Linked DNA regions of Styela clava. The main gene of each other region encodes a partner of the protein of the gene in region 2 in a complex. Links are inferred from orthologs where the notes say so. Each region holds a gene or a part of one and is shown on either strand. Other genes may lie near its edges.

Region 1 (7,579 bases), on a different chromosome or scaffold from region 2:
AGGCACTCGAGCACTCGAAAAAAAAAGCACTCGAGCCCAATCTTTTTAGCATTAAGTCGCATACGTAAAATATCCTGTAAAAGAAGTGCTGTTCATTAACGTCATCTCGCCTTATGACCACGCAGAAATGCTTTTATTGCCGAATTATTCAATCACTATTTCAAATCAACATTCAGGATAGGCACAAAACCTGGATATCGCCGCCAAAACGATCGGTGGGTGACAAGAACAATTAGCGATTACAACGGAATTAACCAGTAAAAAGGCTTTGTTGCCGATTTTTTAATGTTTCCACCACGTTTATTCGGTACTCCTTAAAAATATTCGATTTAAAAAAATATTGAATTTTGCCCACCCCTCCTCGCATATCAATGAGAAATAGTTGTGTAATTATCGCCAAATTCCGGAAAATGCCACGTCCTTTCAACATTGTAATTACAATAAAATGGCACTTAATGGTATTTTGTGAATTTGTTGATTTTGCAAATCTGTGACATGCTGCTAAAAGTTTCGTCTGATTTGAAAATCGTGCAGTTTGGTCACAATTCATCCAAAGTGACTAAAACAGTTACTAACACTTTTTATAGTCATTTTGAATTCATCGATATCATTGATAGTCACATGACATGACCACTCTCGTTCAAAGAAACGCCCCGGGAGCGTTTTTTGCGGGAGAAGCGGAATCCGTGTGCTTGTATAATAATCATATTATAAACAAGAATTTTGCCGTTAATGCAAAAGCTTTATCTCCTATGTCTGCATCTCATAGGTTAGAATTCCGGTAAATATCGTTATGATATGCAGAATTGAGTTACAAAAGTACCAGTATGTTACTTATTTGTCAACTTAATACTCGAAAATATTTGTTAACTTTGAATTTTTATTCCCTTTCAAAATCGGAAAAAAGTGCTATTTCTCTTCAAAATCGGAAAAAAGTGCTATTTCGCAGTCCCTAAAAAAAGTTGCGAAAGTGCTTCGCAATTTTCGCAAAAAAGTGCGCTAATAGTGAACACTGATCCTAAGTGATTCAAGAGTCTTGCTGCACACTAACACAAATATATTTCTGTAACGTTTCGTCTGACCACGGTCAAACTTCCTCAGACATACATATTTCAACTCCGAGGAAGTCTGAGGAAGTTTGACCGTGGTCAGACGAAACGTTACAAAAATATATTTGTGTTAGTGTGCAGCAAGACTATTTATTGAATTACTCAGGATAGTTATCTTCACTCTTGCTACAGCATCCTTGCATTATATGCATACGGATCCACCGACGCAAAAGCATAGAAAACGGAAAAGTAGTTGGTCTTGTAGAAACCCAATCGATAAAAAAAGAAACTGTTCTTAAAATTTTCCTACAACTGAGCATGGCTTTCATTTGGACTTACTTGAAATCCTCTGTCTTTATAAATTCCACAATAATATCTTTGTCTGGTTGAATCTGAAGCATTTTCAAAATCAAACATAAGAAAGGTGTTGGTTTGATATTTCCTCCATAAACTCCACCAATGTACTTAAGTTCCATTGCCTTGTCTACAAGCAGCTCGGCTAAAAATAAAAATGTGATTATTCATCACAATCAATAAAAAATTAGTAGACTAGATATGAATGTAAAAGAAATTCAGACATCGGGATGTATAAGACCTGCAATATGTTAAACACGATTGCACGAAATGCAACCCTGAATATACAACGAGAATATCGGTTGAAAACCGAAGACTTATCGATCGATAGTTAGGGGATCCCCCAAAACAGAAACTGCAGTTTCGATTCATCCGCTCTTGTAACTTGCGCACTGCGCATCGCACACACACACTCGGCGGGTTTCGAAATTCTCTCGCTTTAAAAAATCTAGATCACTATATCAATAATTGATTGATAACTCGCTAATTATACGACATAATTCGCCCAAAATCAATAGGCTTCTGGTCCGAGATAAGATGAATGCACATGCAAAATCTGGAGCAGATTCAACCTCGCTTTCGTGAGATATCGCGTGCATCTAACAGACACACAGACAGACATACATACAGACAAATACCTATCAATATACTTACCGATCTTAAGATCGATAAGTAATGACTGTTAACTGCCAAACAACAATTGTAATATATACCATAAGTGATATAGACCAAACAATATTCCAACAAACCAAGTTGGGACAAATAAGGAGACAACGCATGATAATGAAAATTGGAAGGCTGCGTAGGGATAAATTTAAGCATGTTCATATGATTTTGAACAAACATTCATGCTGGGGATGGGCCTTTATAAATATCTGATGATTAAAGAATAGAGTCATACATTTTTTCCAGTAGAATCGATTAAAGTTTGATACTTAAACGCTGTAATTATTTGTGACTTTTCATTGTAATAGCTCATCCAGACATATAAACTCTTGAATGCTACCTAAAATTTTCCTATCCAGCCTTCTATAAATAGAATTATTTTTTCCGAAGAATCTAATGGTGTCGTTTTCTGATTCGTTTTACAGGTTTAGTTTATTGCACTGTGCTAGTTTGTGCTGATATACCGTAAAGGCCCAAATTACCTCGTAAAGGTGTGGTTTGCAATCACTGTTATAATTGAGGTTCTTTATTAATGTCAGCATGAGGGGAATTTGAGAACTGCTCAAATTTACAAATAACCCTGTTTCAAACCCACAGATTACAATATTACTGTATTAAATGATACAGTACGGTACCGGTATCAATCAACCATAAATGAACTCCCAGACCAGGAAATCGTTCTGGTATTAATTTACCTGTAAGAGCAAAGCATTCTTCTTTCCAATACTTGCTGTCATAAATACGCGATCTTATAATCTTTTCCACCAAATACTGCGGATTTGTTCCTTTCACAGTAACCGCATCTTTCACTGTGCGATTCGCCATATCTTATAAAACTGCGGGAAAAACGAGAAATCAACCCGAAAACTGTTGATTTATCGTGATAGTACCTCACGCTTTTTAACACAGTTGACGAAAACCAGCAACCTTGATCTTTAGCCCCGACTAACGGATATGAAATTTCAAAAGTTTGTAACTGGTTGGCTTGAATAAAAAAAAATTTAATGATTGTAATTTCAGTGGTTTCAGTGTTATTGTCTCTAAAAGGATAATGCATATATCTATTTCAAAAATTTATGTAAGTTTTTTGTGGTGACGTCATTAAAAACAGATTGCGTGCCGTGTGACGGCTTCGCGATCGCCTTTCAGCGAAGTCAGTATTTTTTGACAGGGAAGACTTCCTTTACCCTATTGCAATAGATTAGATACTTCGTTTTGATTACATTCAATCTATAGTAATTCGTGATTTGGTCCAACAATCCCAACAGAAGACGTGATTCATTGATGCATGTTAGCGAATGGAGCCGGCTTTCCGGGATGAGAAGGTGCGTCAATATTTCATCGCCAATTTCTATATTTATGGAAACGGCGGCTAGATCGATATAATGGTTTACTCTGAACTACAGCAGAGCAATACGCTGCAAAACTCATCGCAGTGAATGACATATTGGGCCGAATATAGTTAGTGGGTAGGCCTAGACATGGGAGTTCAGATAGGTAAGGGGTTGGGTTTAGAGTTTAGACAGTGGGAGGTCAGGTACGGTTAGTGGACGTGGGAGATCATACAGAGCTAGTGGGTGGCATTGGACATATGGAGATAAGTTGGGGTTTGACATTTAACAATTCGTTAGAAAATGGTATTAAAAGTGGAAAGTCAGGAGCTACCCACTGAGAAGATCGGGTGGGGAAGAGGATGTGATGAAGAATTCAGGAATGCTTAAAGAAATGGGTCGTTTTTTTCAATCTTCATAAAGATTAGTATCAATATTGGATAAGCGTATAGATCCCTACCCTCATTCATAAACATCATTTAGGAAGATCGAACAAACAAACAAAAGTAAAACATATTTATTGAAGTTACAGACAGTTTTAATGAATGTTCACTTCATCTCGATGATCAGAGTTTCTTGTCTTGCAAGTCCATACGAGTTCAATGGTCGTTTTGGGTTTAAACATGAAAGCTAAAAATAATAGGACAAATCAATATCGTTTTTATATCAAATCATACGTGTTCATAAATTCGATGAACTAAATTGGAAATATTACCAATATAAAAATATTAATAGAAACTTTTGCCCGTAGTGGGGAGATATTAAGTTATCTAAAGGCCGGCCGCACACAGCCACAATATATTTATTGCGATGCAATATATTTTTAGAACTCCCATTGTTTATTGAAAACCCGCACCCATTTTAGACTTCATTGTTTCGAGAATTTATCCAATATTTTGAGTGAATTTTTTTTCGAGCAATAGATCATGTTCTACTTTTTATTGCTAGCGCGCGATAATTGCCTTGTGGGGGAAACTCACTCAGACAAATATTTTATTTTTATCATGCAAGAATCAATGCAAAACTTCCGCTCTGCCTGCGTTGTTCAGCTGTTTGCGTGATCTTGTTGACGGTTGTGTAGCGTAAACGAATGATGAGCTATTTGACTGAATTCGCTCCACTAAACGATGTCTCAAATTGACTAATCTTTTTTGCATAATACAATGGTATTCCCCTTATTTAAAGCATCATTTTAAGAAAATGGACGAAGGTGGTTTATATTGGATTAACTGGAGTCAATCCAGAGTCAGAGTCTCACGCCTCGCTGTAGCATCATTGCTAAATATGTACACAGTAACAAAAATTGGCATCACTTGTCAGTCACATTCAGTTCAATCAACGTTAATTACTTGAGCAACCCATGTCACGAATTTTCGCCAATAATAGCTCATTTCGGGTCCATTTTTGTATGGTCATTTCATTTTTTCACTCGTCAACTATTAGGCCGTAAAATTTCATTCATATCTTTATAGAATTAAATGCTAACGTTCTATTTTGGGGGATTACGCTAAAAACCTATTTCAGCCCCAAATTCTACGCATGAAAACTGATAGTCCGGTAATTAAAAAAAAAACGTTTTTTTTTAATGTTTGGTTAGTATATATAGACTAGACAGAGAGTTTAGAGCTGATTTAATTATCTCTAGTCCTAACGTTTACTTGTATAATTTCCCAACAAAACAATACTAACACCATTATTATTGATAAGAGTATCGGCATGTTTCGATATTTACTAATATCGAAAAGTTTCATAATACTACTCATTCTAAGCTTTAAATGTCACCTCGCGCCGCGGGCACACTGATATAATTCTGTAATTCTTCAACGAAAATCCTTCGGAAATGATGAAATTCAATAAATCTTGCAGTTTATCCGACCTAGCAAATTTTCTGCTTAAAAATCCTTCTCCGGTAGGTTTTCGTAGTCGAATTTGAATGACCTGAAAACATACAAAGCAACAATGTGGCGCACCGTGCTAAGCGTTAGGAATACAATCGCCACGCACCTTTGATTACCCTGCGTGGGTTGGCAGGTTCGAATCCTACGTGGGGATAGTTATGTGCAAGAGGATTGCTGTACTCCTCGCCGTTTCAGGGTGGTTTACTTAACCGCTGGTCGGTTATGGCTTCCATCACCATCAAGTCCATGCACCTAAAAAAATGACTAACTAATCCAAAACCCGACATGGACTGGTAATCGGACGAGAGCCCGTGGTTCGCCATATGATTAAACCGTTTTATCGGCTTTTCTTTTCCCCAGGATAATTAATTATGCAAATCCTATCCTATATTATACCGGTTTTACGGAATCAGTTTCTTATTTATAAAAATGGCGACTTTTTGTTTCCTTCCACATATTCCTATTTTCAATCGTAAACGGTTTTTACTGACTTTGTTTAAATTAAACACTTATGACATTCGGAATTTTATTTTCACAAGTACGCACTGTTTGGAAATGGAAGAGCTATAAAAAAGACTATTATTTTCGCGAAATCTTAACATTTGTCGAATGCTTGTGAAAGTGTTTTTTATATGACGATAAAAGTTAAACTTTATGAAAACCTTTTTGAATTGTTAATTCAACTAACCACACATGAGTCATCTAGAGAGTGATAGTAACATTATAGACTTCATTATTCAAACAATCTCAGCAGAGCTTACATTTCTTGAATGGTTTGGCTCCTTTCTCAAAGATGATTTCATTTTTGAAGATTCCGCTTTTAGTTTTCTTTGTTCTTTTATTTCGAGTTCTCTTAATTTATTCGCGTTCACTTTGTTCATTTTCTTTAATCTTGATTCTTCTTCTCGCTTTTTAGCCTGTACATTTAGATTTTTGGTGACGGCATATTTCACTAAACTATTTCTAAATTTGAATAAACTACATATATATATTATCTATTTTAAACGCATACATTATTTGATCGGGGTGTGCAAGCACCGCTAATGGGTGCGAGAACGCTGAATTGTCAAGTTAAGGTTGAAGGCGCTCCAAAAGTGTGTGTACTAATATAGAGGTAACTAATTTTGTTTGCCTACTTTACATCAATTTGTGTAGAGGGACTAAAACCTATGGGAGGAGGCTAACACAGACAGTCCCCGAACTCGTAATAAAACTGAAATATGAAAAATTGGAATAAAATTATGGCCTAATCTGGTACACACACTACGGAAGTACCTGAAAAAATGAACATAACAATCAAAGATATATATCACAGTTATGTGTACACACTTATGTAGTAACCTATCGCAATCAGAAAATAATGCAATGTTCGTGTTAATTACAATTTATGAAAACTATTTCCACAGCAATTCTACAAAATGTGTTGGAGAACCGGTTAGTTAGTATTAAGAACTACCGTCTCAACCTTAGAAAATAGCCTAAAATACGTTGTCAATTCTACAAAATGTGTGGGAGAACCGGTTAGAAAAGAAAAAGGTTTGAGAACTACCGTTTCAACCTTAGAAAATAGCCTAAAATACGTTGTCAATTCTACAAAATGCGTGGGAGAACCGGTTAGAAAAGAAAAAGGTTTAAGAACTACCGTTTCAACCTTAGAAAATAGCCTAAAATACGTTGTCAATTCTACAAAATGTGTGGGAGAACCGGTTAGAAAAGAAAAAGGTTTAAGAACTACCGTTTCAACCTTAGAAAATAGCCTAAAATACGTTGTCAATTCTACAAAATGCGTGGGAGAACCGGTTAGAAAAGAAAAAGGTTTAAGAACTACCGTCTCAACTTTAGAAAATAGCCTAAAATACGTTGTCAATTCTACAAAATGCGTGGGAGAACCGGTTAGAAAGAAAAAAGGTTTAAGAACTACCGTCTCAACCTTAGAAAATAGCCTAAATTACGTTGTGACCTGGTGAAGTCTGATTTTTGTCAGAAGAAACTTACAGAAATACATTTGTGTTAGTGTGCAGCGGGACTTTTGAATTGCATAGTATATATAATATTATACAGGGTGTTCATAAAGTTCTCTTACAATTTCAATTTTGTTTTGAAGTCAGTTCTCAATATATTTTAACCAAGTTTTTTGATCAGTAATTGTTTAAGTATATTTACTTCCTTTAATACATCTGTGAGGGCCAAAACAATATATGGTATCGATAAATTTCTTTTGCAATTTTTAAAATTATTAGGACATTATGGACACCCTATATATATCAGAACTTGCTTAGTA
Region 2 (6,912 bases):
TTCAACAGAAATATGTTCCTTGAATCCATCTTTTCGAATAGCAAACATCACCTGATTAAAAAGAAAAGGTAATATCAATTTAAAATTCAGTGCCCTGGATTTTTCAATTCATTTTGAATTTGAATTCTCTACATTGATACTCATATCAGTTATGACCGAGAACTCGTGATATATTGGCTGTCACTGGCTTGAACAAATTTATTCTTGACTCAAGATCTCCGAAACAAATGTGAAAATTAAATTAGATGACATAAAATGATTGACAAATAAGAGTAGCAGAGTGGAAGTAGAAAATTGAAATGTAAGAATTTTTTGCACCGTAAATTTTAGCATGGATTAGCATGATTTAGGATTGAATTTGAAAACATATAATGTTGCTTTGACAATATCTTTTGATTTCTATCCTATATCAGATCAAAACGTATAAGTCTGTTTGATGCGATTTGCTACTTCATAATATAGTCTTCAATATTAGAAAAATAAATAAATGTATCAGATGTAAATGAGATTTGAGAAATATCTGCAATCAATGAACTTATGACAGTAAATTATAATTAGTTACTTCAATCATGTATTGCACTCTCTTGTCAAGCTCTTGTTCATGTAATATTGTACGTAAACGTTCCATGACTGCTGCAAGACCACGGGGTGATACCTCTAATAATTTTTGGCCACACTCTTTTAAGAATCCAATTGCAACCTGAGAAAATTCAAGAGAAAGATTTTCACTAAAAATACTTTAGTTTGAGATAAACGAGTTTAAAACATGCCATTTTATTTATTTATCATACATTCACGAATTAACCAAACCACAATCACATACCTCCACAGAATCATCTGTCGGGTTTTCAAGCAATAGAGTTAAAATTTGAAGTCCAATAATCTCATGTGCAACTTGCTGGTTCATCAAATGGGCAATGAATTGTGCAGAGTGGAGGCATACTTCCTAAAAAATAATGACATGAAGTCAGGTAAGAAAAAATATCAATCTCTTCAATTTAGAATCTCAGTTGGTAAAGTAATAAAATGATCTGATCAGCCACTCACAGTAAAATAAATTTGATTCAAAACTAATCATGACCTTTCATGGCATTCACAAACCCCGACATTTACATTAAGCATTGATTTAAAATGATGGCAATTTTTCAAAATATTATTATTGTCCCTTTTTGCTTTATAAAAACCTCACTATAGTGTCTCTCACTATAGTAATTTATTAGGAAGACTCGAATATTACGAGTCAGCTGTGACAACTTGACTAACACAAAATTAATATTATTTAGGCCTATTGTAAATTAATTGTAAAAAAAAAGTTTATTCAACACTATCTTCACAGGAGATAAATTTACGGACTTCGGCTAGCTACCTTTCTATTTCTTTTATAAGACCGACGGAATTGCAAGGCAAGTCTTCTTAATATTAACTCTCCATTTTGTGGAAAACGAGTGTTGATGATTGCAACGAGAGCAGCATATACTTTTGTAAAGGTTGGAGAAGCATTTTGAGCTTGCAATATAGATTGGGCCAACACTCCCCTGAAAAACATGTTAAAAGTTTTTAATTCGACAACAATCTTGACCACATTATTTGGAAATGCTTTTAAAAATTTGCAATTGTGATCAAAAAGACATAATGAGCAATATCATAACATGACGAATATATTGACAATAATATAGATGCATCTAAAATTTCATAGTATTGGACTATTGGCATTAGATATAACAGTTTATCTAAATAAAGAACCCGACACACAGTGGCACATTTTACCTTCCACGAACTATATTTTCTTGAAATAACTCTCTGACAATGCTTGATATATTTGACGTGTTCACTTTATTGATCAAACCGTTGATACTCTTCTTCAGAGCTTCCCAACTTATTCTCTGATATTGCTCGCTACAAAATATTGAAAAATTCAGTATTATTATTAAGTCATCATTTTGCTGTCAACAGAGAAATTCCATTAATTTAATAATAAATGCTTCAAAGCGCATATAGCAGGGTGGTCCAAGGTTGGTGGCCTCGCAGGGCACACTATTATATTTGATGTGTTCGCGGGCCAAAAGAGTTCAACTTATAAATAACTGCAGATTGATTGAATACCGAATTTTACCAAATTTGAGATACAGGAGGGTAATTACTAAATTTTCTGACATATAGGCAGCATTTTTTGTAATACTAATTAGGCTGATTGCGGAAAACCACCCAACAGGAATTATTTTATGGTTATTTTTATGACGAAACAACACCAAATTTTGTTTTGTTAGATTTTTTGTTTACCCTCCCGCAATGGCAGCGCGGGCCATAGATAACGAAGCCTGGGTTTGGATCACCCTGGCATATTGGAACGCTGTGTAACACTTTCAGCATTGTGTAAGAGAAAATAACAAAATTTTGAAAATATTTGAACTTCCACTCAGCACGCCAAAAATGAAGATAAGGTGCTCTCAACATGGTGTGGGAGTGGGCATGGGTATATAAGATATATTTCACCGTTAGTACATCACACAGGTATATCAAAAACAAAAATTTTATAGGCAGAAGAGCATACCAATAGAATATAAATAGTTGGGAATTGGGATAGAAGTGCCTGTTTGAAGTCCGAAGCTTACATAAATGTTAAAGTACTCATACCAATTAATCACCATATATTTCTGGGCAATTCAGTGGCTGGAATTCGAACTTGAAATGCCACAAGTGCTAACCATAGCATCAATTCGAATAATATGGTCATAATATTTTACTGTTTCAAACCTGCTCTTATCAGTAATCTGCTGTTGCATCATTCGTAAACGAGCCGGAGGAATATATGCTCCTCCAGTTTTTGTAGAAATCATGGATTCTTTGTCAATTTTGCTCTTCTTCTCTGGAGGTTCTCCTTTATTCTTTTCATTTTTCTCCTCTATTATTTCACCTTCTTCCAGATGTCTAGCTTTACTCATGTTTTGAACTGAAAATTTATACACTACTGAGCTCTGAAGCTAGTCTATGTGCAAATAAAGATATAGATACATTTGCAGATTTGATAGACTAGATATGTACATTATGCGTAAATTTTATATTAAATTCCCACCCCAGACACCACCAAATATGACAACACTCAAATCAAACAAACAGACATTGAGGGACATTAATCTGGTAGATTTGCGCGTATTCTGATATTACTGTATGAATTTATGCTAGACTCTAGTCCAGGGAGGTCCAAACCCTGGCCCGCCGCTTCACTATCTGTGGCCCGCATCGCATTTGCGCAAGAGTGAACAAAAATCGCATTTGGCATTGTTTCTTCATAAAAATAACTAGAAAAATCTTTTGACATATTGTTACATCACTAATGTCAATGAATTGACTAGTGTCATGGTTAGCTGAGGCAACTAGCGAAGGAATAATGTGCTTTGCTAGTCTAAATTGTTAGCTGGCTTTCTATCTTTTTGGTCGGGAATATTATGCTAACAGAATATTCTTCATAGTAAACTAAAAATCCAATGGAAATCTATCAGCCTATAGGTTGGGTATGCCTGATAACTAAATATTAATGTAATGGCCGAACAATATAATTCCCGCCGGGTGTTTCTTTTTGCAACCAGCCTAAACAGTGTTACAAAAAATGCTGCCAATATGTCAGAAAATATAGTAATTATCCTCCTGTATCTCAAATTTGGTGAAATTCGGTAATCAATTAATCTCAGTCATTTATAAGGTAATTTTTAAACATGAGTTTGAAAAGAAAGTTGACTAACAGATTTTTGACTGGATATGGCAGATAAAATATCACAATGCTTGCCTAATAATATGTCTGCAAGTTGTATCAGTGACAATCTAAAACAGTATTTTTTCCTTATGGCACTTTTTCCAAGATGAGGAATTTGAAATCTTACACTACTGCACTAAATGTATTTACAGTAAGATTTTTGCAAGTTATATTTAGCTTTATTTGGTAGTTTTAGCATATGTTAGCTTGATAAATGACAAATAATGATCAATGTGTTTGGACAATAAAGTGTTTGTTTAGTATTGCACTAATTACCTATTCTTGGCACTATTGTGGCCCGCGAACGATACAAAAATGATAATGTCATTACCACTGTCCCCCCCAAGGTTGCCGATTTAATATAAAAATTGCAAGGAAGTATATGAAATGACATTTGCAAGACCTCTAAAGGTCCGTTCCGGTAGGTTTTCCACTCCGTTCCGGTAATTACAGAAAATTATTTTTACCACTGCCCCCCCCCCCAAGTTTGCCGATTCATTATAAAAATTGCATGGAAGTATATGAAATGGCATTTGCAAAGCATCTAAAGGTCCGTTCCAGTAGGTTTATGTGGGTTTTCCACTCCGTTCCTGCAATTTAGAGTACCGGTACGTTCCGGTAATTGGGGAAAATTATTTTTACCACTGCCCCCCCCCCCAAGTTTGCCGATTGAATACAAAAATTACATGGAGGTATATGAAATGGCATTTGCAAGACATCTAAAGGTCCATGTAGATTTTCCACCCCGTTCCGGTAATTCTGTAATAAAAGGAACCGTCTTATTGTTATTTCCAGTACCGGTATTTCTGTCCAAGATTTAGTCACATTTAGGAAATAGAGTCCGCAGCCAGACAGCTCAGGTGGATGAGTTAAGCCATATCTGAATTTGCTAATGTTTCAGTAATTCCGATAACAGGATAATAAGATTTCAGCAGTTACCGTACCGGTATTCTACTCTGCGTGGGTTCGCAGGTTCGAATCCCATGCAGGGATGGTTATGTGCGAGAGGATTGCTGGACTCCTCGCCGTCATTGGGTGGTTCACGTAACCGCTGGTCGGTTACGTCTTCCTCCACCACCAAGTCCATGCCTCCGAAAACAAACAATATAACTAATCCCATACGGTACCGGTACCAGACTTGAAATGGTAACCTGACCAACCTGACGAGAGGCCATATGCTGATATGGGTGGTTCGCCATATGGATAAGCTGCTTATCGGCTTTCCTCTCGCCCGGGATAAATATGTAAATCCTATCCTATTCTACAGTACCGGTAACTGGTTTAATAATTAGGACGGTAGGATCAAAGTGACTATCTTAGTCGATTTGGGTAGGATAGCCCGACGTTTAAGAATAGACGAACCTGACCAAAATGTTCCCACTGCTCCAATTACTGATTTACAATACTAGCCTATAATTCCATAGGACTATTCCATAAATATAAAGTAAAAGTTACACCAATTTTCAATCAAAATGTGATATAACCATTTACTGCATTTCAGCATTTAAGTGTGCAGCGCGTTATACACAGTGCACGTTACACTTAAATAATTTCGGCAATAACTTCGGAAAAGCTAATGAATTAGTTAATTAATCAAATTAATTGAAGTAGTCGCACGTGCTTAATTGAAAAAAAAGTCAATATATAAGTGCAAACGATATTGAAGAGATTCGCCCAAGCTCAAAGCGAAATGTGCGCAAGTACGTATGCGTTCGCTCACTAACCCAAAAAATTTTGCTAAACTGGAAGTTTTGTTAGATTCAATCACAAGTCGACCCGATATAATTTCGGTTAATGAAACTTGGCCTAAACCTGACCAAGTTGGCGCTCATATAAATTTACGAGATTACAGATTCGTTTCAAATGCAAGAAGCAACCGGGTGGTGGTGTGGGCTTGTATATTAGAGATGGTATTACCTTTAAAACCAGACCGGAATTGTCCATGATGGAGGAGAAAACGTTTGAATCGTTATTCATTGACATTAATCTTAAAGACCGAATTGTAACTTGCGGTACTATTTACCAATCGCCGCTGTCCGATAACTCCAGAAATAAGAAATTTTTTAGCCACCTCAACATTGTTTCGCCCTCACTTTCAAGACAAAGTATACTAATGAGTGATCTTAATTATGATCTGATGGACACATCGCACCATTTTGTCAACGAACTGACTGAGCTAATGAACCAATATTCCTTTTATCCCACTGTTGCCAAACCGACCAGAATAACTGAAAATAGCGCAACAATTCTTGATCGTATATGGACAAACATATACGATCGAAAACCTGTCAGCGGTATTCTAACCGATGCCATCTCTGATCATTCACCTGTAATGCAGTGTATGCCGATAGAGCAAAAAACATTTAAACACGAGGAAAACAGTTTTTCTCGATCATTTAGTCCGAACAATATGGCCAATTTTAAAACGGCGTTAGAATGTATCGATCTCTCTGGGGTGTATGAAGAATCGGACCCGAGCAATGCCTTCAAAAACTTCTCTTGTCATGTTATGCCAGTTTTTGATCGCTGTTTTCCTCCGATTTCGACTAAAAAAACTAACAAGAAGTGGTTTGATAAAGAATTAACAAACTTCATAAGAACAAACAGAAACGTTACAAATTATCTCTTATCGAGAAATCGCAATGTTCCAGGATTAAGTACTTGGAAATTAAGAAAACCTATTAAAAAATGATACTGTCCCAGAAGAATTTTACTACAGATCGGTTCTGAATAAAACTAAAAGCGATCTGAAAAAGTCGTGGCAAACGATGAATACCCTGCTAGGTCAATGCAAATTTAAACTGTCAAAAGTATTTGTTGTAGGAAATATTGAAACGTGTGATCCCGTGTCTATAGCTGATCATTTTAATAAACATTTTTCTACGATAGGAAAGCGAATGGCTGAGAAATTCTGTAATGATACTGACGGTAACTTCATGAGTTACATGAGTAAATCGAGCACCTCAAGTATTAATGTTTTTATCACCCGTAACAGCCATTGAAATACAAGCTATCGTTCGAGCTTTTAGACCTAACACCAGATGTGAGCTTGATGGAATCCCAATTAAAGTTATCAGAGCAATGCCATGGATTTGCATGTTATCTCCGGCTCATATTTTTAATCTTTCTTTGCAATCGGGACAATGTTTTGATGAATTTAA

What was found. The genes of interacting proteins can lie anywhere in the genome.
Region 1: pre-mRNA-splicing factor CWC22 homolog (region 2) and pre-mRNA-splicing factor 38A-like share a complex: the UniProt entries of both Drosophila melanogaster proteins name them as parts of the spliceosome C complex. The link is inferred for Styela clava from reciprocal best matches to the Drosophila melanogaster genes ncm and Prp38.

What each region holds. Positions count from the first base shown.
Region 1 is NC_135260.1:5,477,948-5,485,526, reverse strand, and holds the start of pre-mRNA-splicing factor 38A-like, read right to left. Parts: upstream 3,016-7,579; 5' UTR 2,895-3,015; coding exon 2,765-2,894; intron 1,549-2,764; coding exon 1,389-1,548; intron 1-1,388. Other genes in the region: FAS-associated factor 1-like, read right to left, coding at 3,950-4,030, 5,183-5,338, 6,060-6,215. UniProt on the Drosophila melanogaster protein: Required for pre-mRNA splicing.
Region 2 is NC_135257.1:820,014-826,925, forward strand, and holds the start of pre-mRNA-splicing factor CWC22 homolog, read right to left. Parts: upstream 3,004-6,912; 5' UTR 2,943-3,003; coding exon 2,755-2,942; intron 1,897-2,754; coding exon 1,768-1,896; intron 1,536-1,767; coding exon 1,367-1,535; intron 947-1,366; coding exon 824-946; intron 701-823; coding exon 563-700; intron 52-562; coding exon 1-51. UniProt on the Drosophila melanogaster protein: Required for pre-mRNA splicing and for exon-junction complex (EJC) assembly. Hinders eIF4AIII from non-specifically binding RNA and escorts it to the splicing machinery to promote EJC assembly on mature mRNAs.